Kluyveromyces lactis: one gene and its partners. The protein of the gene in region 6 purifies or fractionates together with the protein of the main gene of each other region. This does not show direct contact. Links are inferred from orthologs where the notes say so. Each region holds a gene or a part of one and is shown on either strand. Other genes may lie near its edges. The genes, in order: RRP6, ECM16, UTP10, LRP1, MPP6, RRP43 and RRP45.

Evidence for each region.
Region 1: the proteins of RRP43 (region 6) and RRP6 purify together in Saccharomyces cerevisiae (affinity purification with mass spectrometry; 11 studies listed by BioGRID, with this or other methods). This does not show direct contact. The link is inferred for Kluyveromyces lactis from reciprocal best matches to the Saccharomyces cerevisiae genes RRP43 and RRP6.
Region 2: the proteins of RRP43 (region 6) and ECM16 purify together in Saccharomyces cerevisiae (affinity purification with mass spectrometry; 3 studies listed by BioGRID). This does not show direct contact. The link is inferred for Kluyveromyces lactis from reciprocal best matches to the Saccharomyces cerevisiae genes RRP43 and ECM16.
Region 3: the proteins of RRP43 (region 6) and UTP10 purify together in Saccharomyces cerevisiae (affinity purification with mass spectrometry; 3 studies listed by BioGRID). This does not show direct contact. The link is inferred for Kluyveromyces lactis from reciprocal best matches to the Saccharomyces cerevisiae genes RRP43 and UTP10.
Region 4: the proteins of RRP43 (region 6) and LRP1 purify together in Saccharomyces cerevisiae (affinity purification with mass spectrometry; 4 studies listed by BioGRID). This does not show direct contact. The link is inferred for Kluyveromyces lactis from reciprocal best matches to the Saccharomyces cerevisiae genes RRP43 and LRP1.
Region 5: the proteins of RRP43 (region 6) and MPP6 purify together in Saccharomyces cerevisiae (affinity purification with mass spectrometry; 4 studies listed by BioGRID, with this or other methods). This does not show direct contact. The link is inferred for Kluyveromyces lactis from reciprocal best matches to the Saccharomyces cerevisiae genes RRP43 and MPP6.
Region 7: the proteins of RRP43 (region 6) and RRP45 purify together in Saccharomyces cerevisiae (affinity purification with mass spectrometry; 7 studies listed by BioGRID). This does not show direct contact. The link is inferred for Kluyveromyces lactis from reciprocal best matches to the Saccharomyces cerevisiae genes RRP43 and RRP45.

The regions. Positions count from the first base shown.
Region 1 is NC_006040.1:113,524-117,447, forward strand, and holds RRP6 (exosome nuclease subunit RRP6), read left to right. Parts: upstream 1-1,189; coding exon 1,190-3,424; downstream 3,425-3,924. Other genes in the region: PHO80 (Pho80p), read left to right, coding at 1-380. UniProt on the Saccharomyces cerevisiae protein: Nuclear-specific catalytic component of the RNA exosome complex which has 3'->5' exoribonuclease activity and participates in a multitude of cellular RNA processing and degradation events.
Region 2 is NC_006042.1:1,597,097-1,601,128, reverse strand, and holds the start of ECM16 (ATP-dependent RNA helicase ECM16), read left to right. Parts: upstream 1-1,232; coding exon 1,233-4,032. Other genes in the region: SAS2 (histone acetyltransferase), read right to left, coding at 1-868. UniProt on the Saccharomyces cerevisiae protein: Probable ATP-binding RNA helicase. Required for 18S rRNA synthesis. May play a role in restructuring of the pre-rRNA.
Region 3 is NC_006042.1:1,973,999-1,978,002, forward strand, and holds the start of UTP10 (snoRNA-binding rRNA-processing protein UTP10), read left to right. Parts: upstream 1-1,204; coding exon 1,205-4,004. Other genes in the region: KLLA0_F21164g (uncharacterized protein), read right to left, coding at 1-282. UniProt on the Saccharomyces cerevisiae protein: Involved in nucleolar processing of pre-18S ribosomal RNA. Required for optimal pre-ribosomal RNA transcription by RNA polymerase I together with a subset of U3 proteins required for transcription (t-UTPs). Involved in ribosome biosynthesis.
Region 4 is NC_006041.1:1,510,361-1,512,636, forward strand, and holds LRP1 (Lrp1p), read left to right. Parts: upstream 1-1,242; coding exon 1,243-1,776; downstream 1,777-2,276. Other genes in the region: KLLA0_E16985g (uncharacterized protein), read right to left, coding at 275-793; DNA protein crosslink repair co-factor UBX5, read left to right, coding at 2,035-2,276. UniProt on the Saccharomyces cerevisiae protein: Required for exosome-dependent processing of pre-rRNA and small nucleolar RNA (snRNA) precursors. Involved in processing of 35S pre-rRNA at the A0, A1 and A2 sites. Required for activity of RRP6 in 7S pre-rRNA processing.
Region 5 is NC_006039.1:782,856-785,267, forward strand, and holds MPP6 (Mpp6p), read right to left. Parts: upstream 1,029-2,412; coding exon 501-1,028; downstream 1-500. Other genes in the region: YIH1 (Yih1p), read left to right, coding at 1-384; snoRNA-binding rRNA-processing protein PWP2, read left to right, coding at 1,681-2,412. UniProt on the Saccharomyces cerevisiae protein: RNA-binding protein that associates with the RNA exosome complex. Involved in surveillance of pre-rRNAs and pre-mRNAs, and the degradation of cryptic non-coding RNAs (ncRNA) derived from intergenic regions and the ribosomal DNA spacer heterochromatin.
Region 6 is NC_006039.1:318,832-321,937, forward strand, and holds RRP43 (exosome non-catalytic core subunit RRP43), read left to right. Parts: upstream 1-1,466; coding exon 1,467-2,606; downstream 2,607-3,106. Other genes in the region: RBK1 (putative ribokinase), read right to left, coding at 1-903; KLLA0_C03542g (elongation of very long chain fatty acids protein), read right to left, coding at 2,893-3,106.
Region 7 is NC_006039.1:952,725-955,474, reverse strand, and holds RRP45 (exosome non-catalytic core subunit RRP45), read right to left. Parts: upstream 1,419-2,750; coding exon 501-1,418; downstream 1-500. Other genes in the region: KLLA0_C11121g (uncharacterized protein), read left to right, coding at 1-276; RNH202 (Rnh202p), read right to left, coding at 1,760-2,750. UniProt on the Saccharomyces cerevisiae protein: Non-catalytic component of the RNA exosome complex which has 3'->5' exoribonuclease activity and participates in a multitude of cellular RNA processing and degradation events.

The DNA of each region.
Region 1 (3,924 bases), on a different chromosome or scaffold from region 6:
TGAACTCACCGGATAAAACTTCCACATACTTCTTCAAAATGGTCGATCCAATGAATCCTGGCATTGGTGGCACCTTGGTACCGCCTAGTACAACAATCAAGAACAATCTTAAAGATAAAGGAAATGGTAGATTAAACACAAACATTATATCCACTACGGGCAGGATCGTTTCACCATCTATAACCGAGGGCGATAGCTTTAATCTGAGTGAACACCGGAAAACTCGTTCCCGAGAAACTTCTGTTAATGAGAATAGTGATTCTCCTCCGATCACCATTCCACAAAAGAGAAATATGAAGGAGGATGATCCGACCAATATGGATAGAAAGAGCACTTTGCTACGCAACGGCAAAAAGCTTTCAAGTCATTTCAATAGTTGACCTTCCTTTAATTTATTTCATTGCCAGGATGGAATCAACTTCGGATTCAATTTATCTTTCGCTGAATTTGTGAAGATGGTTGGCAAAATGTGTTATGAGTCTTTTACGATACTGAAATGGTTTCCCATTTTTGTTGATGTTCTTTTCATCGCAGCAATACTCATCAATATTCACTTCATAATGTCTAGACGGAAATTAGACATTAATTGACCCACTTTTAAGTTATTGAATCACTACCCAAGATTACAATGAAAAAGCATGTAGTATTAAAGTATAGTTTCACTACTTAAATGTTTCAGGATTTTGCATTACTTTCCTTCAATTGTGCCATCTTTACTCTTACAGGTTAGCCGCCCTATATAGCTATACTTAATTGGTTGCCATAAAATGGAGCAGCTGATGCTGTCTGCTTCTAGCGTCATTTTATAATATTGAGATGAGAGATGCTGCAACATTAGTTGAAAAAAAATCCGTACATCGTAGAGGAAGCAGAAGTTATGCAAGATTATATAGTTAGTTCTCTAGTAGCCAATTAACTTATAACGTAGCCGTTGAAAGGCAATGGCGGCGGTGGTGATACGTGGTCTGACTCTCTCTGTAATACTACCGACTCTTTGAATGAATCATTTTCATCAGTAGCAGAGAACATCTAAATTTTACCCGGATTTGAATTCTTCTGATTTCTTTTGATTAGTGAATATTTCTTCATCTCATCTCATCTGGTAGTCAAAGACAGTAATATATTGGAGGGCAGTACGATTCGCCCCGTTTTGAATCCCCCGTAGACTACCAGCTGACTCTAATCCACCATGTCTTCAGAGGATAAGGATACGTTACTTTCCAGTTTGGTTCAAACTGTGAGATCATCGAGTGCATTGGCTGCACAGGATATCGATTTCTACAAAAGTTTAGATTCCAACATTAATGCATCATTAGAAGACACTTCTACGAACATTTTATCGTTAATCAACGACTTGCTTTTGTCTATTGATCCCAATAATGATGTAATTCAGCAAGGGAAAGACAGTTTTGTGGATTCTTGGAAATCCATAAGTAATATTATGGATAATTTATTTGAAAAGTCTGATCATGCACTTGACAACATTAGAGCCGGAAATGGTGGAAACGCTGGAGGTCCATCACTTAAGTATCTAAATGATGATGATCGTTCGAACAATAAACCATCCAAGAGGATTGAAAAACCTCAACTAAGTTTTAAAACTCCTGTAGATAACACAGAACTTCATCCTTTCAAGCCATTATTGGAATACAAACCCCATAGTTTACAACCGTTCGAAATTTCATTGAAGATGGTCCCAGAAGAGGAATCCATCCCGTCCCATTACCCACATCCATACGAATATGAGATCGACCACCAAAAATACAATGACTCCATTCTTGTTGCAACAGAACCGATCCCATCAAAGGACTGGGATGAAACTGAAGCAATTTGGGTTGACACCGTTGAAGGCCTTAACAAAATGAAAGATGAATTAAGTAAAGCCACAGAATTAGCAATCGATTTAGAACATCATGATTATAGGTCTTACTATGGTATAGTTTGTTTGATGCAAATTAGTGACCGGGAGCATGATTGGATTGTAGATACTATTGCATTGAGAGAGGAACTTTACATATTGAATGATATCTTTACCGACCCTAATGTTACTAAAGTTCTGCACGGTGCATTCATGGATATCATATGGCTTCAACGTGATTTAGGCTTATATATTGTTGGCCTTTTTGATACTTATCATGCCTCCAGGATGTTAGGTTTTCCAAAACACAGTCTGGCCTATCTTCTCGAAAGATTTGCTAATTTCAAGACTTCAAAAAAATATCAACTGGCAGACTGGAGAATCAGACCGTTGACCAAGCCTATGCTTGCATATGCAAGAGCTGATACGCATTTTCTCCTAAATATTTTCGATAAATTAAGGAACTCTCTACTGGAACAGAATAAGATGTCCGATGTTTTGCATGAATCGAGAAAAGTGGCTAAAAGAAGATTTGAATATAGTAGTTTCAGACCAAAGGTTCCGTCTTCAGCAGTGTTTTCACCTATTGAAAAGGATGAACCTTGGAAGAATATTATGTTTCAGTACAATATTCCGGCTTCAAAGGAATTACTTCTCCGTAGACTTTATGAATGGAGAGATACAATCGCCAGGAGGGATGATGAATCTCCTCGTTACGTGATGCCAAACCAACTACTTGTATCGTTGGTGGCTGGTGCACCAACCGAACCCATTAACGTATTGTCTGTCAGCTCATACGTTTCAGAGCATTTAAGAACAAATTCGAAGGTCATTGCAAACTTGATCAAAAGAACTTTAGAGGATCTCAAAGGAAATTCCAACTCTTCTGCGATCCCACTTTTGGAATCGGCCGAAAGTAACGGCACCGATCTGGCCAATATAATAACAACGTCCCAAATTAAATCCATTCAGAATATATTTCATTCACTTGCTTCGGAAATAAACTCTCAAAAGCTGAATAACGAACAAAATTCAGAGAAATCTGTCCTATTCAATGGTATTTCAAACTTGGATGTGAATACTGCCGTCAGATATACACCAAAGACGAGAACGCTCATTCCACAACATGAATTATTAAAGCGTCAGCATGAAATAACAAGGACGTTAGAACAAGAATACACTGACCGACAAGCTCAGAGTATTGTGCTACCGTCAAATGAGGATGAAGCTCCTACGCAAGTATCTAACGATGAAAACAGAAATGAAGTCATCACGTCTGATCCTTCTCAGGAAGAGATTGAAGAGAACAAGGATGAAGTAATTACGTTGCGCAAAAGACAATCTCAATCTAACAACAAACGAAAGACTATCAGTCCACCTGCAAGTCATGAGATTATGGATTATGCTGCTGGCTCCGACCTATTGAACTCAACAAAGAATAATACAAACTCACAGAAGCATAAAAAAAGAAGATTCGATCCTTACTCTGTTGAACATGTCGGTCCACAGCCTATCAAGAAAAAATCAAAACCTGCCAAGGGTAAGAACGTCTCATTCAAAAGATAGAGCATCTTGAGCAGCTCTAATGGTATAAATATCGAACTAGTCATATTTACAGGTTAATTTCGCTCACTAATTCGTTTGCGTAATAGTTTTTTTCCTTAGAAATAGCTACTTCTGCCTAGGCATTGAGACACAGATTGGATAACTTGAGCTTTTCTGAGACTGCCCATAAGATCCTCCAGTTGCAAGGAGTCTTTTCACAGTAGTCAGTCTATCCTAATTTCTTCATCTATAGTCATGTGCAGTGCATCAGATTAGCCAACAGTTCTCGAAAATGTTGGAACTGACAAAAAGGAATGTTGATATTCAAATTTTGTTTACTACGCGGAATTATAAGAGTGTATAAATAAGGGTATCTCATGGCATTTAAAAGAGATTTAGCCCTAAGTAGTATATATAATGAGATTGAATTTTTAATGCATACTGCAATGAACTGCTTTGATCAAACATAAAGAGCAGAAAAATTAAACGGGTACGACTCCAAGAGCTTATCTATCCTATTA
Region 2 (4,032 bases), on a different chromosome or scaffold from region 6:
TTTCAGAATCACTTAAACAATCAAGATATTTGAGAGCTTGAATTATATCATTGATTCTAAAACCAGTGGCCTCGGAAAGATCCTTCAAAGTGACCTGGGCCACATCTTTCAAATTACCTTCAGTCAACTGCCAAACTATTGAGAAAGACCAAAATTTAAGATAGCCAATTAAACCGAAAGGAGATAGAGGAACTTCAGGACCCGAAATCAGACCCTGACATCTTGATAAAGTGTAGGAAAACTCAATCAAGAGAGTACCCAATCTTCTTCTTTGATAGGGCGGAAAGACAAGAATACATGCAAGGTTATTTTGGTGGTAGGAATATAAGTCTTTTGAAAAAAATGCCATCGGTACTGTAGAATTGTTCTCATACACAATATAGAATTCGAAATGCTTAACTTTGAAGTAGACAGACTTGTTATCAAGAAATAGCTTAGTAAATAGACATAAGCATTGGCAGAAAACTTCATGCTTAGAACCTTTTACCCTTCGTATAGTGTATTCGGGGCTTCTGTATTTTATTCTACCGGGTGGCTTATTCTTATATCGGCAAAAGCACTCATGTGCGATTAACTCTGCTTCATCATCAGTGTACTTGAAACAATATTCACATACGTATAGGGTATCAATCCAATACTGATCTTCAAACTTCTTTTCAGTAGGGCTTTGTTTTGCGGTGTGCTCATTGTTCGATTCCTTGAAGCCCAAGGTCCTCTTATTTCTTCCAAAATAAACATTACTCCCGTACCAAGTTGCAAATCTTTTATTCAAGCCAAATTGGACGTGCCTAATATTAGGCTTGTCAAGAATACCATATATTTCTTCATCCTCTGTTGAGCTGTTGTGCTTATCAGGTTTGGGAACCATTCATTAATGATTTGAAAAGAGGCAAAAAATGCGATTTATCACGTTTCCCAAATTTAATGAGTACTTGAAAACCCAATTAACGGTGGAATCAACTGCTCTTTGAACTTAAATGTACAAAAGATTGCCTATATCTTTGAATTATCAAAACGTTGAAAGCGACTTTCTTTTTTTTTTTTTCATCTTCCTTTATGGCAGAAAAAGCTTTAAAGCTCATCGCATCTCATCGCATCCAAGCTCACCTGCATCTATATATCAAAATCTCGTTGATAACAGGCTGGTAGTCTGAATGTTATAGGCCTCTGTGACATTAACAGTCAAGAGAAGTACCTCGCACGTTAAACGGTCAAAAAATTGAACAACAAACATGGGTACCTATAGGAAGCGCTGGAATGAGAAAGCACGCGCGGGTCAGATGTCTAAGTTGAAGGAGTTGAAGAGAGTAAGGAATAGGCAGTTCACCCGTGCACTTGAAAATTCTTCCGATGCTGATTCTGAAGAAGGTAATTCATCTGAAGATGAACATCATGAATCACCCGATCATCAGGAAGATACGAACGCTGCTGTATTGAAACCCATGACGGAGGAAGAGAAACAAGAGAAAAAGCGTAAATTGGAAGAGCTATTCACACCTAAGGAAACGAAGGTCTCTAGGACGAAGAAAAAAAGGTTAGAGAAGTTCATCGAGCATCAATTGAAAAGAGAGGAGAAAAAAGTTTTGATAGAAAAACTTCAGGACTATAAAATTGATACTAAGCTTTTGACAAGTTCTAAGATTTTGGGACAAGGAAGGCAAACTAAGAGGCAAGGGATTGAAGAAGCCCTCAAATTAGAAAGAAATGGACGTGGTGATGAAACTACCAGGGAAATTCTTTACGATGAAACTGAGGTAAGGGATTGGTATCAAGATCATCCAGAAACTAGGCCCAGTCAGGAAAGCACAGCTGAAAATTGCAATTCGGATAGTGATGAAACGGACCATACCAGTTCAGATCACCCTATTTCGGCAAATACTGGGGGATTTATTGATAATAGACCCAGTAAATTTGGTGGGTCAGGTTTTGGTTTTGGATTCGGTAATGCAAAGGTGGTGAATAAAAGGGCCTCGAAGAAAAGGTATAACTGGAAGCAAAAGGTAGAGCAAGAAGAACGTAGAAGGCGTAAACTGGATGATGATCAGGATTTTGAATCTGACGAAAGTGAATCAGAAGAACATTCATCCACTGCAGAAAGTGAACCTGATGAGAGTGAATCTAATAGTAATGCTGATAGTCACAGCGATGATGAGTCGAGTGAGTCTGACGGCGAGGAAAGATCGGATTCAGAAATAGCGCAGTGCAGAAACGTAAGTTCTTCAGTTGCCCAAGAATTTAAAGAGTGGGCAAATCAGGAAATTAAAAAGCTTGAAGGTAGAGATGTAGAAATGGTTATGCCTTCCTCCAACATCAAGGTCGATAGGACCGAGAGACCTGAAGACTTTGAAGATGGACTCAAAGCAGATGAATTTAATGTGAACGAAAATTCAACACGTAAGGCTTTTTATGTCAAGGTACGGAGATCTGATGCTGTTCAAGCTGTGAGAAGCGCACTACCTGTTTTCGCCGAGGAACATAGAATTATGGAAGCTATCCATCATAATGACGTTGTAATCATTTGTGGTGAAACTGGTTCAGGTAAAACGACACAGGTACCGCAGTTTCTTTACGAGGCAGGATATGGTAATTCGTCCTCAACTGACACGCCTGGGATGATTGGAATAACACAACCTAGAAGAGTGGCCGCTGTCTCTATGGCTGGACGTGTTACTAATGAGATGGGTGATCATGGCGAATATGTAGGATACCAAATTCGGTTCGATTCTTCTACCAAGGATAAAACAAGAATGAAATTTATGACTGATGGTGTTTTGCTAAGAGAGATGATGAACGATTTTAGACTTTCTAAATACTCTTCTATCATTATCGATGAAGCTCACGAGAGGAACATCAATACAGATATTTTGATTGGTATGTTAAGTCGTTGTGTCAGCTTACGTGCTAAGGAGCATGCAACTGATCCGGCTAAGTACAAAAAACTTAAACTAATTATCATGTCTGCCACCTTGAGAGTATCAGATTTTAGTGAAAACCCTACTTTATTCCCTGTTTCTCCACCTGTCTTAAAGGTCGACGCCAGGCAGTATCCAGTGGCTGTACATTTCAATCGTAGAACAGCTTATAACTATGCTGAAGAGGCTTTCAGGAAGACGTGTAAAATACATCAAAGGTTGCCTCCTGGTGCTATCTTGGTTTTTATGACAGGACAGCAAGAGATCACGCACATGGTAAAAAGGTTAAGAAAAGAGTTTCCTTTCCCCAAGAAACATCAAACTCTCATTCAAAATGACCACATACCTACAGTGAAAATAGATGCCAAAACTGCAGATGTAGAAGCTGAAGATATCGACTTCAGTGTCAGAGTTAGAGAGGAACAAGAATTTGACGATTGTTTACTCTCTGATGAGGAAGATATTGAGGACAAAGAAGAGGACGAAGAAGAAGGTTTTGAAGAAACACTTGAAGAAGGTCAGACGGATAGAGATCCACTATATGTTCTTCCTCTTTACTCGCTATTGCCCACCAAAGAGCAAATGAAGGTCTTCCTTGATCCCCCACCAAACTCCAGATTATGTGTTGTTGCTACTAATGTGGCAGAAACATCATTGACCATACCGGGAGTAAGATACGTCGTTGATTGTGGTAGATCAAAGGAAAGAAAGTTTGATGAAAATAATGGTGTTCAGAGTTTCGAAATTGACTGGATTAGCAAAGCTTCTGCTGGCCAAAGAAGTGGTAGAGCAGGGCGTACAGGGCCTGGTCATTGTTATCGTTTATACTCCTCTGCAGTTTTCGAAAGAGATTTTGAGCAGTTTTCTAAGCCTGAAATTTTAAGAATGCCTGTGGAGAGTATAGTTTTGCAAATGAAGAGCATGGCTGTTCATAATATTGTGAATTTTCCATTCCCTACCCCACCCGAAAGACCAGCTTTGATGAAGTCAATAAAGCTCTTACAACACCTAGGTGCACTCGACAGTAATGAAAGAATCACTGATGATGGTAAAGCAATGAGTTTGTTTCCGCTAAGTCCAAGATTTTCTAAAATGCTGCTTGTTGGTAATGAAAGCGACT
Region 3 (4,004 bases), on a different chromosome or scaffold from region 6:
GACCAAGATTGGGTTACCTGTGGAATTCACACCCTCACATAAATCAGAAGATACATAGTATTCTGGGAAAGTCACCGGAGTCTTTCCATCCTTCAAAGTAGAAACATGAACCAAGTCACCATACTTAACAACACCTCTAGCAACCTCAGCAGCGTATTCACGAGTTAGGTTGAACTCTTTCTCCTTATGAGAGGACTCTCTCAATTTCTTATCGCACCCTTCGCGTGCAGAAACGGAATCTAAAGCTAAAGCCAAAGATAACAACAAAGTACTACACTTCATGACTGAATTATTAATGGCTCAATAACTGATGTCGTTATTTGGATAAACAATCTCTCCGCAAGTTGTAACCCCTAAGCTCATCGCTATTCAATCTTGATAGAAGGTTCCTTAAACCTGTCGTTGCCTATATATAAAATAAACGGTACAAAATTTATAATGCGGTAAATTACATAATGCAAACTAAGGTAAGGAAGGTGCTCAGCCTCAAACTTCCGAAAAAGTAGTTTGTTTACCAGAAGAAAACATTTTTGCAGTTCACCCAAGCCTTTGCATTGAGATTGGTTCGGACGAACCATCCGCCTAGATCTCGGATCTAAGTTTAATCGCAGAGACATCGCCGCATAACCACATCGCTCCAGCCAGGTGTGTTTTTCTTTTGTTCTTATATGAGCCGGTCCTTTGCTGAAAAGCCAGTCTGAACGCAGGCCCAACGCACACAACTCACACACACCCTCAAATGGAAACGTTGAGGCATTGCTAAGTAGATAGCTGCTATGAGCCTTGTTTATGCCAAACATGCTTATACGGTTGGCTGAGATCCGAAATTCCTCAGAAACTAGCCATTACTTGTAGTGTGACCTTGCACGGCACATGATGTATTGAAACAACTCTTAAGTCTGTATGTACTTCAATAGATCCGAAAGCAGGTGGAAACTGACCAGTAGCTTGCATATTGAGCTACGGGGAGACTTGACCCAAGTTTATGGTATCACTCCATTTTCATACACGTGACCATAAATGAATTTCTTTTCACCGCAGCATGAACAAATCGAAAATTTTAAAGAGTGAAAGAAAAAAAAAGTAGCGATGAGATGAGATGAGATGAGGTTCAAATCGTTGGCTTTGCAATCATCTCCTGGCGATAGATTTTTGATCAGGTTCGACTTGCTAGTACTCCAGGCAACGGCAGAGACGATATAGAATGTCATCTTTACGTGATCAATTAGCGCAGGTAGCGCAGAATAACGCTACTGTTGCTCTTGATAGAAAGAGAAGACAAAAGTTACATTCTGCGTCTTTGGTTTACAATCCGAAGACTGCTGCTACTCAGGACTATGAGTATATATACGATACAGCGTTGGAATCGTTTCATACTTTGGTGAGTTTGGACTTGAGGTTCAAAGTTTTCACTAATTCCTTATTCAGTGCATCTTCCGTGACCATTGATAGAAACGTTCAAACAAAGGATCAGATTAGAGATTTGGATAACGCAGTTAATGCGTATTTGATGTTGATTTCGCCGAAATGGCATCTAACTCCAGCTTTGCATGCTACGGAATGGTTGATTCGTAGGTTCCAAATTCATATCCATAACGCCGAAATGCTTCTTCTATCTACTTTGAACCAATACCAAACGCCGGTGTTCAAAAGGATCCTCAATATCGTTAAGCTACCACCTTTGTTCAACCCATTTACCAATTTTGTCAGAAACGATAAGAATCCAACCGATTTGACGTTGATCAAATTGTTTAACGATATGGACTTCTTGAAGCTTTATTCAAATTATCTGTCCAAGATTATCAAGCAAAAAGTTACCTATACGAATCAACTGCTATTTACCACATGTTGTTTCATTAACGTGATCGCTTTCAATGCGAACGATGAAGATAAGTTAAATAAATTGGTCCCATTGATTTTGGAAATTTCCGCAAAACTTTTGGCATCGGATTCAAGCGATTGTCAAATGGCTGCTCATACTATGCTCGCGGTACTTGCCACCGCATTGCCTTTGAACAAAAGCATTATCATTGCGGCTACGGAAACTATCTTGGCCAATTTAAAGGAAGACGATGCTAGAAAAAAAGCTCTCGTCACAATCTCAAAACTTTTCCAAACCTTGAAAGGTGTAGGTAATGTGGATCAATTACCGGTCAAGATCTATAAACTCGTTGATAATTCTTTCCCATTCGAATATCTACTACAGTTCCTGAGTAATGAAAACAAATATTCCTCAGATAAATTTTTCACTGCATACATTAGGTCTGTCATCAGATATGATCATGATAAATTGAGTCAAATTGTCAAAATCTTAAGGAAGATTAAGTTGGAAAAATACGAAGTTAGATTTATCATCACTGATTTGATACATTTATCTGAAGTTCTAGAGGACAAGTCACAATTAATCGATGTTTTTGAATACTTCATTTCCATTAACGAGGGACTAGTTTTGAAATGTCTTCAAGCACTAAACCTGACCGGAGAAGTTTTCGAAATAAGATTGACAACTTCATTATTTTCCGTCAAGAACAGTGCGGAACAATCTGGTGAAGATATCATTAAAGTTCTAGATGATGCTAAAGCATCAACCGCGAATGGTTCAGCTGTTCCATTTAAAGATTTCATGACCAAAAACTCAGAGTTCATCTCCACTAAAGCGGAGTCTATGCTTCTTGTTAAAGATGAAAAGTTTGTCAAGCTGTTGTCATTATTTGTGGAAGCTGTAAGTAAAGGATATCAACCAGGTCTATTTTTATCCTCCTTCTTCACTACTTTAGAGAGCAGGATAACGTTTGTGCTCAGAATCATCGTATCCCCTGGTTCGCCTGTTGCTCTCAGATTGATTTCACTAACACAGTTAAGCAAATTCATCAATGGTATAGATGAGCAAACGGATCTTTTCTCTTTGGTACCTATTCTAGTGACAGCATTGATGGATATTTCTAGATCTGTTCGTTCCAACACGAAAAAGGTTCTACAACAGATAGCCAAGAGACCTTTCACAGCAAAGTATTTCCTATCTAACGTACTCTACGGAGAGAATTTAAAGGTGCCAATGTTAAGTCCGAAAGATAGCAAGTTTTGGTTGACCAACTTTTTAAGCGATTACATCGTTGAAAGTACAGATATTTCATCCCTCGTCATTCCATCCAAAAATGACATGGTATATATGCTGTTTTGGTGCAACCAGGCACTGCATCTTCCTCTCGCCTATTCGAAGACTATAATGTTAAAGCTCTTGACCGCTGTGCCACAATATGCTTTTACATATTCAAAGGTGTTCGAACAATTTATGGCCACATACATCACGGAAAGAAGTTCCTGGGAAACGAAGTGCATCAAAAATAAAACCAATTTCAAAGACTTCGAAACTGCGGTATGTGCCATTGTTGCACCAAAAGAAAAAAACAGTTTCGCGATAGATTTTTTGATTAACTGTTTGGAATCAGAATATGAACAACTTTCGAATATCATGGCAGACAGAATTTTATCTTTGTATCCAACATTGAAATTCCCAAACCAATTAAAAATTGTTCAGAGTATAATAGACTCCTCAGTTGACAAAGAACTATCATATGATGGTCTAGAAACCCTTCAAAGTCTTCCATTAACTGCAGATATTTTTGTCTCTGTGTTGAAAAGTAATACCATAAACAGCGAAGATCAAACAGATTTGACTAAACGTAGAAGAAGAAGATCGTCTACGGTTAACAAGTCCGCCCTACAGAAACAAGATATTTCTCAAATTGCCGAAGCCCACCTAAAGAAAATGACTATTATTCTGGAGACTTTGGATAAATTGAAGGTAAAGAGTAACGAAAATCTATTGAATGCCTTATTCAACCTTTTGTCCGACTTGGAAACTTTAGACCATGATGGTGGTTTGCCTGTACTTTACGCTCAGGAAACTCTGTCCTCTTGTCTTTTGAACACTATTTCTTCTCTAAAATCTAACAACGGAAGTATGAAATTACCCTCTATTAGAGCAGATATACTAGTCGCTG
Region 4 (2,276 bases), on a different chromosome or scaffold from region 6:
AATTTTGTTTCCCCCTCAAAGAGCGACAAATTCGACAGATTTAAGAGAAAACATATACCAAAGAGATAGAATTGCGTTGGGTATTGAACCTCTATGGTTCTGCAACTGGTGCCAACAGATATTTTATAGTGTATCATTACAGCTTTATCTTTTACTATACATATTATATGTGTATATGTGTATAATTGGTCAAAAACGTTCGCATGACTCAAATAAAAGATGGATCATATATGTGATGTGTCGAATCTCAAACGAAAACGAAGATTACATCCACCTATTGGCGTTGCATCTCAGTGAGACGTTTAAGATTGGCCAAGTTCTCCAGGATCTGGCCATCTGAGATCATAATTGGGGTTTGCGTATCGTTGCGGAAGTAATCTTCTGCACTTGTATGTGCTAAAGGTGGACAGAGTCTGAATGAACCAGACCGATCCATTTGATGTTGGAAGGGGGAATTTTCCGAATAGAACGCAGTTCTATCGAGTTTGACTTTGAGATGGTTCTGCTGTTCGTCGTTCCCGTTCTTTTGGTATAGGTTCTGTAGAAGCGGTTGCGGTGGCTGTATTCCAGCCTGAAGCGATGATGACTCGTGGTTCAATAGGAAGGATACGTTCATCTGTTTAGAGTTCCGCTGCAAAAGCTGATCCATTTCTGTGACGACTTTCTGCAAATTTGATGCCAAGGTTGACCATGATTCTGCATCGCTTGGCGAGAGCGAGTGTGCTTGCTCACGATATTTCTCACGAACCTGTCGTAGCTGTGTCTCTATATTCGATAAGTCATCAGCGACCATTATCTATGCTGACGAGAAACAAACTAAAGTACTTCTTGAGCTAGGCCAGTGTTGAAATTAAGTATACTGGCGGAGGGTGGATGTTACTTCAACAGTCCAAATAGGACTACTCGCCCTGTATTGAGTACAGGTTCTCCATATATGTGGTATGAATGTGTGTAATGTCTTGCGTTTTTTTTTTTTTTTTTGGCAGGCAAATATGGAATTTTCGCTGGATAAAGAAATAGAAATATTACTGAAGTACTTCTACGTGCGAAACGCACGCAGATTATTATGCGTTTTGTTCCATTGCGAAAAATTCGCAGTATTATGTTATTGATCGAAAATTTTGATTCAGTGAAGAATACTTCATCTCGGTATTATACAGCTTCATCTCATCTCATCTCATCTCATCTCATCGCTGCCTCAGTCGACAACGACAAGAACACGGACCACATACAACTACCAGCATGGAAGATACTAAGAAAATTAAACCATACATCTCGTATCTCAATAAACAGGTGGAACAACTCAGTGGTGAGATTAACAAACTAACGAGCAAGTCATTGGACGAACAACTGTTGCTTCTGCAAGATGAAAAGAAGAAACTTGATCTTTCAAACAAATACGCATATGTATTGAGTTCACTATGCTTTTCATACATGAAAGTCCTCAATATCAAAGACCTGTCACCTATCATGGCCGAATTGGCAAGGTGTAAGTCATATATGGATAAATCTAAACAGTTAGAAGCTAAGAAAGAATCTGAAGAGAAGGATGAGGTGGAGCAAGAAGAACAAGCAAAAAGAGTTCTACAATCTGCGTTGGGAGGTGGCAAAATGGAACCTGCTATCAGTAAAGTCAACTTTCAGGGGAAACATACTAAGTTTTCGACAGAGGCTTCCACCACCAGCACTGATAAGGATGGACTGGCAAATCGAGTAGTAGACGGAACAAAGAAATCAAAACAGCAAAAACAATCTGGTAAAGTATCGAAGAAATAATTCATCTGAAATATGTCCTGGCATGTTCATCCATGTATTCCTGGGTCTTATTCTGGCATTCTATATTAATAATTAGCATCGCATTTTTCACTGACATAACAAGTTGTATAGTATAAATACACTAAAATTGGGAAACAAAAAGAAGGAAATTCCAGTTGGCAAACGTGAACAAGAATTAACCAAAGATACAGGTTTCAAGTGGCAACAGAGAGTTACAGAGACCAGTAAAAGGATTAAAAGAAGTACATTTCAATAGCCATGATATCTGACGAGGATATTTCAACTTTCCAAGGTGTTTGCGGTACAGATAACGATGAATTGTCAAGACATTTCCTTGAGATGGCCGGAGGCAATTTGGAAACAGCCATCTCGTTATTCTTTGAACATGGTGGTGAGAGACAGTTGAACAGCAATTCTGGTAATAATAATGCCGGTGCTGGTGCTGGTGCTAATACAGGGGGTTCTGGCGGTCTGAGTGGCGACGTAGAGTTTGCTGAAGA
Region 5 (2,412 bases), about 460 kb from region 6:
GACAGAAAGAGCACGTTTATTGCGTTTGCTACTAAAGCCAATTCTGAAGAAGAGGCATTCGATAAGCTTGAGCTGTTAAGAACCGATAATAAAATTGCTCGTGCTAATCATTTAATGGTTGCATGGAGAATCAAGGGAGAGAACGGTGTCAGTTTCCAAGACTGCGATGACGATGGAGAAACAGCTGCAGGAGGACGAATGCTACATTTGATCACAGTGATGGATGCATGGAATGTAATTGTTGCCGTTGGAAGATGGTTCGGAGGAGTTCATATTGGTCCAGATAGATTCAAGCATATAAATTCAACAACTAGAGAAGTAATATTGAAGGGGCATTTCACAGAAGCTGCTACCTCTACTTCAAGTAAGAAGAGGTCAAAATAGTTCACATTTATAGAATGGAGTATTGTTACCGGAATTTGATCTACTCTATTTATTATATAAGTCGGCGAAAATAATATACAAATACTAGTGTCTCATTTAGCATCCTGCTATGAAGTTTAATTTCTATTCCTTTTTGACTTCTTCTTATTCCTCTCAGTATTACCATTACCATTGGATTTCTTCTGTTTCTTAGTCTGTGTTTCGGCTTCCCATAGCTTTTCTAAATCTGTCGTCGACACATCGTCCTCGTCCTTTTCTTCAAAACTTCTTTTCTTATCATTAGAACTCCCATCTGAACCGGGCGTAGCTCGTCCGAGTTTATTTCCGAATATTCTTCTTCCTGCATTTACACTAGTCCGTAGTGTGCTTGTGCTGAGATCGTTTGTATCGATCTTCGAATCCTCATCATTCAGTGACTTGATAGCAGAGAAACCTACGTTCTGTACCACTTTTGATTTATTAGCAAGTTTTGTCAAGAGTTTTACATTGTCACCTATCCTCCATTCTGACGAGTCCACCAATTTCTTTATTGTCTCCTCGGTCTGTTTAACTTTGTCTGCTTGTTCCGCATGCTTCATGAACTTCATGTTCATCACTCTATTGGATAACTTGCCTGTGACTTCATGCCGTTTCTGTCCACTCATTGTTACCTTTTCGTCTTAGTGCCCCTATTACCGCTTTCAAATAGGCTTCACTATATCATTGACACTGGAATACATTTTTAATGTATCATTAAAGTCCTAATACAGCTCATCTCATCAATCTTCTGCTGAATGGTTTGATCTTACATATTAGAATTTCATGAAAAGTTTGTTTACGATTGTCCGGAAAATGAAAGATAGCAAGAAGATAGAAATATCCATGGTTAAACCCCGTCGGACGTATTTCAGAATGCAAGGATCTGCACTATAAAAGGAACATTGTACAAAAATAAATGAAATAAAAAGGTCATTGGTAAAAGTATGAAAACAGCTATAATGAAGTACTCATACTAAGTTTCAAGTGCTGACATAAACGACAATCCACCCAAAAACCGACATGTTTCTGTTCTCTCTTTCTTTACTTCCGTGCTAAAGCTGTATATGTTTTCCTTTCTTTTTCATTCAGCATACAGGATTTCGAAAAATTTAAGAGAAAAAATTGAGCGATGAGATGAGATGAGATGAGATGAGTTCAAGCAGGAAGTGCAGACGGATTATCAGTCACTTGTAAGGACTTTGCATTATAATCAGTTGTTCAATTTCAATTAGTTGGAAGGAATCAGGTCAGACGAGCTTTATAAGGGTTTAGTTACGGATGAAGTCTGATTTTAAGTTTTCCAATCTTTTGGGAACTGTTTATAGGCAAGGTAACGTCTTGTTCTCTCAAGATGGTTCCAAGTTACTTTCACCGGTAGGTAATAGGGTGTCGGTATTTGATTTGATCAACAATACTGCTTTTACCTTCGAATATGAACATAGGAAGAACGTTGCCGTTGTAGATATCAACAAGCAAGGTACGTTACTTCTTTCCATTGATGTCGATGGTCGTGGTATCTTGGCGAACTTTAAGACAAGAAACGTATTGCATCATTTCAACTTCAAAGAAAAGGTTTATGACTTGAAGTTTTCACCTGATGGCAAGTTATTTGCGCTGGCTTGTGGGAGATTCTTACAAATATGGAGGACACCCGAGACCACTGAGGATAGACAGTTTGCACCTTTTGTTCGTTATAGAATCCATGCCGGCCACTTTTCTGATATAACTTCCTTGACATGGTCAAAAGATTCAAGATTTATTATATCCACATCCAAGGACCTAACGGCAAGGATATGGTCAGTTAACTCGGAGGAGAAAAATCTTGCATCGACGACTTTTGCAGGACATAGAGATAACGTTATCGGAGCATATTTCAGCGATGACCAGGAAAAGATATACACGGTCAGTAAAGATGGTGCCTTATTCCAATGGGAATACACCAAAAAGCCTGGTGAAGGGGAAGACAATGATGAAGATGAGGAAGATGTAGATTTGTCAAAATATAGTTGG
Region 6 (3,106 bases):
AGCTTTCTCTAGATCGCGTTTTTGATATAATTGAGATACTACCGCTCCAAGGAAGGTATCACCAGCCGCAGTAGTATCAACAACTTTCTCAACCGCTATTGAAGGAACGTGACCTCCTTTAACGTTTTGCTTAGAGGTAAAAACTGCACCGAATTCTCCCAAAGTTATAATAACAACCGAGGAATTTGATGTGTTTATCAAATTACTCTGATAATACTGCGCTAATTCTAGGTATCCCAGCTTGAAGCTCTCCGCAATTCTCGATTTGTAGTTCTCAACCACGGCTTCACCATACAGTGATTCGCCAATTTGAATGGCTTCAATTTCATTAACAATTAAAATATCAACAGATTTCCAGTCTTCTACTTTTAATGCATGAAATGGAGAAGGGTTGAATACTACCTCAAAGTTTGGTCTATTTGCCTTTATCCAATTCATGATGGAAGGAGGATCAGGAATTTCATGTTGAAACACAATGAATTCTTTGGCGTTATTTTGAAACATCACTTCAAGCTGCTTATCAGAATACATAGTCTTACTGTTCGCTCCTGCTGTAATCATGATTCTATTTTGTCCCTTAGCTTTTTCCACTATAATTACTGCAACACCAGTTGACTCGTCATCAACCTCTTCAACATATTCTGTATTGATGTTATGATACTGCAATTTTGATAGTAGTTGATTTCCAAATGAATCAGAACCTACGTGGCCAACCATCCTAATGTTGCTTGTCTGGTCATCAGATGGTTTGGTTAATTTCGCGAGCGAAATGCATTGATTCAACCCCTTACCACCAGCATGTGTTTCAAACGAATCCGCAACGAAGGTCTCTCCTGCTACCGGAACACGCTCCGTATACGTGACCAAATCAAAATTTAACGATCCCACGACAACTATGCCCATACTGTTGTCTTGTTTACTTTGGGGTCCAAGCTCTTTATGTCGCAGTTAATGCATTGTATATACTGTCAAATCCTGCATATAATTCTTATCATTTCGTTTCAGATGTCCATAAATAAACCCAAAGCAGAGAACAAAACGGTACCTTTTTACATTTAAGCTAATTAAAAGTAACGAAGATGTAACGTACCACTTGACATCTATCCCACCTTTCGCTGGATTAGCTGTTATTTAGGGTATATCACATCAATATATCGGTCACGTGAGAATTATATTCTTTTAAGCAGCCTAGGGAGTCCGCAGATCTATTCAGAACCTTGTCACTTAAGAATTGAAAGGCATAACCAGTATACTGTATCGATTCCTGATAGTGTTCGACCCTCTCAGGGGTTTATACCAGTGTTTTCCATCCATTATTACTGCATAAATCTTTCAAACCTTCATAACGTCAAGGATGTATAAAAAAGTGAAAAACTTCAACTAGGTCTTTTACAAACGATTATAGCTCATCGCATGGGCTTAAGGATGGAGGAACTCCGCCAAGGAGTTGCTACAACCGATCAAGTATGACTGAAAGTATTGATATACATCCAATAGTTTTCCCACCCGAAGTTTTAGCTCGAATTTCGCCTGACATCTCCTTACAAAGACATTTGTCTTTGGAAACTCGACCATGTTCAAGAGGATTCGAAGAATTCAGAGATGTTGCCATTAACGATGGTAATATATCTAGGTACAGTACGAACTGTCAAAATGCAACTACAAATAACATTATTGGTTCCAGTCTTCTACGCTCTGGCAAGACCTTTGTGATAACTTCGATAACGGGTGGCATCATTGAAGAGACATTACCGGCGAACAATACTGAAGATGTTGGAGAAGAAGAATTGATGAAGCTTTCAGAAGATACTGATAGGCTCTGCGAAAATTCAACTATTTATCCCGTAGTAGAGGTACAACGTGGACGTGTTGGTGGTCCTACCGATGAAGAGATGATCACTTCAGAAAAGCTATACAAGACACTCTTACATTCTGGAATTCTTAAGAAAACAGCTTTGGCTGTATCGTGCGGTATTCGCAGGACTGAAGAAGATGGAAGTGTCACCACAATATACAGTGACGAGCTACTCGATGAGGAGAAAAAAATTAATGAAGCAAACAATAGGAAATGGTCCTATGTGCTTTATGCCAAAATACAAGTTTTCAGCCGTAACGGTCCAATTTATGATCTCTGTTGGAATTCTTTGATTAGTGCGCTAAAAACAGTGCAACTACCTAGAGCTTTCCTAGACGAACGTGCTGCTGATTTGAAAATTGCTATAAGAACCCGAGGTCGTAGTATGACAATTCGTGAAACATACGACATCTTATGCGACCCACACAAATCTTTACCTTTAAAATTGAACGAAGGAGAATTATGCTATGGTTCAAACTACGGAATCATTGACATCGAACCTTTAGCACAATTGGCCAAAAATGATGACGAAATGGACGTGGATAAACCAACTTCAGTATTATTAGCGGATATAGAAACAGAGGCCGAGGAATCATCAATTCTATCTACATTGTCCTTGACAACGAACAAAAATGGTCAATTCAAGGCTGCAACAATCATCGGAGGTGACTCTAAGATCACACCTGAAATGATAAAAAGGTGCATATTTTTATCTAAACAAAGATCAAAAGATATTGAATCCAAAGTTTAGTTGTGTAAGAAGCATATCGATATCTTTATAATACACGACATATTCAAACTTTCTTCAAAACAAACGTCAGAGTAATCTTGAACGTCAATCAATAGTTACTTACAAAAGAGGCTAAATTTCTAGTTATCTACGTGAGTTCTCTTTCGTACCAAATCATGACAGGAAACCTATTGAAGGTAAAACATCCATAAGAAAATGTAACATAAATAAACAAGGATGAAGAGAAGAGAATAAAAAATGATAGCGTGTGTTGAATATTACAACGTTTACATGCAAAAACATGTATTTATGCCTTCTTAGATCTAGTATTTCTCTTTCTTGGAGCTGGAGAAGGAGAGGGAGTACTCACATTCTTCAAATCGACATTCACATATTCGTTAACCTTAGCTGCAACACCACCACGAACTCTTTTAACAACCTTAGACTTCTTTGTGCCTTGACGTCTGTACACTTCAATGTAAAATGCAATGAATAAAAATAAGTAAGAAGAGATGATGGCG
Region 7 (2,750 bases), about 630 kb from region 6:
TGTACAGTAACATACTGGGCTAATTCGAAGAACATTTTGGCGGCAGAAGAGCGGTACTTGAATTCTGCACCAGAGACACAAATTTCTATTGACAAACACATGATGATGTTGGATGAACGAGATTTGTATCCCGAACTTAATTCACGAAACGGATTCGAATTTGAAAAGAACGACTTGAACAGATATCCAAATTTAATACATATTGTAAAGTTTAACGCTCGGGAAGAATCAGTGACTTCCTCAACAGAAAGAGACATGACCAGACTTTATATTTGATTCACTATCGCTAAGATATTCACAGCATACACTCTCATATATCCACCAAACAGATACATTATTTGTATATTCATACATACAACATATAGTACAGAACAATATCAAACGCGCTGAACGGCATGGATTAAACGACTTCTAGCTGCCAAGTGTCTTGGGATATGGTACAACCATAAGCATTAATCTATAATTGAAGAAAAGCTTCCAGTTCTTCGATACAATGCTCCTTAAGTTTCACGAGCATTTTCAGAGCTCAAAATGTGTGCGTATTGGTTTCTTGCAATGGTATCTTGTTTCACAACACGATGAATTTGATCAGTGATTTTTTCTACAATTCCGTATGCTTTATGACAACAATCAATCAACGACAAAGCTTCCATCGGCAAACCACCTGCTTTGGAGATTTGAACAACTTCTCTGTTTTTATTAAGCGTCACAGTAAGCACACCATCTCTCAATAGCTCCTCTTTTAAGGAAGCATCGATGATTGATATTTCTGCATTGTCCTCACCTTTGATATTTTCTTCTGTATCGTCTGGATTGAAGAATGAAAACGTCACACAAATTGGAACATGCAAAACACCTAGTGACACAGGTTCTCTTTCATCAATCGGATGTACCGTCACTCTTTCACCAAGAACAGTAACGTCGGGCTTCTTAAAATGAAGTAACCCAGCCATTACAGCAATGCAACTGGCATCGATTAGTCCACCATCACAATCTAAAAAGTGAACATCAGCTCTAAGAGACCAACATTTGGAGCCAGCTATTATGCATAAACCTTCTACATCTAATGCTCCTGATCGTCTTACAGCTTTCTCAATCATCCTACTGATCAATACCTCTTCTTCTCCAGTATTGTTCCCATTCTCAAACTGAGCACCTGCCATCGGTGTAGTTTCGGTACTTATATGGAAAAGTCCTTCAAACGGTCTATCTTCATAAGGTTGTGCAATTTCACAGCTGATACGACAGTGTACCTTTGTGTTACCCATGGTAACAGTCACATCACCGTATGCTTCACCTATTTCGATCTTCACATCTCTGAATTGGTCATATGAACGTCCATCTAATCTTTGTTTAAGCTTTAACGCTTCCAGGATAAATTTGGATTCAGCATTACTGATCTCTATATCTTTTGCCATCACCTCTTATCGATTTAACTATTTTGATATGCGAATGCAAGCTCTCTTCGGCTATGGTTTTCTCTTTCAGTGCTGCTCATCGCAACTCTTTAACTTTTCAAGTGTTATAGTTCTAAATCTTTCATAAGCTTTGTCTCATTTGATATGATAGAAAGATGAAAAAGGAATAAAAACAAAATTGATGCGAGTTTCTCTAGGAGGAAGACCCTGTAGACAGGTATTAAGTGGAAGAAGATCAATTATTTTAGAGCTCAACAACGGCATGTTATGTGAAGCTTTAGGTCAAAATGATAGAGGTTATCCAATACTGATATTTCTACGAAATTATTATATGCCCTTACTTATGTTTTGTTAGTTTTGAAGAATCCGTCAATTCTTCCTTTACCCTTAGCAACCTTTGGTTTCACAACTTTAGCCTTTTGAATAGGTTGTTTCTTTACGGTTTTTGTGCCATTTGGAATGGCTGTAGACATAGCAGCTTTGATAAGGAGCTCTCTTTCCCTTTCTGTTTGTAATGTTTCGTTCTTGTACTTGTCGTATGAGTCGAAACATTGTTTGATGTTAAGATTTGAAGATTCATGTCTAATTAGATCCTGGTATGCGAGTTGTGGGATCAAGGAAACTAGAAGATTACACGACATTATGCATTTCAGAGATGATGCTATATCTTCAGGTAGCGATTTTGGTATTTTAAGAGAAGTAGGGAAGTTGTTGTTGATTTTGATGACTTTCTTCAGTAGCCATTCTACTATCATTTGAGGTTCGATACGATAATACTTGTCACCAGCTTCTTCCACTGTATGTGATATTTTCCCGAGACAACTTTCCCATAATTTTGGAGGTATCTTCTCCCAATTTTCACTGTGATTATTCGTTAATTTCTCTTGGTAATCAGAACTAGTATAAAAGTTAGTATCCATATCGAGTGCGGGTGGAACGCAAGGTGTAATAAACGCTAGATCCTCACTAGTAACTTTGTTGTTCCTATAATAATACCCACATATATTAAAAGTTAAGTCATATTTTTCGGCATATAGTATCGAACCATCTTCTAGTATGTGTCCATCTTTCCTGTTCTCTTCATTGATCAAAAATGTGGATTTAAATGTTTGCGAATCTGAAGTATAATGATATTTATCATTCACTAAATCTCGCGAGCAATTATAGTCACAGCCTTTACTGAACTTTTTGATTTTAAGCTGGTATACTTTATCGTCGTGTACAAACAGTTTGATAGGTTTCTTTGATTCGTTATTCGATGGATGTGGAAGTTCAAATATTTCGACAGGAGAATCCACTGAATTTGGCAAAGCTACCAATAGACATCCTTTC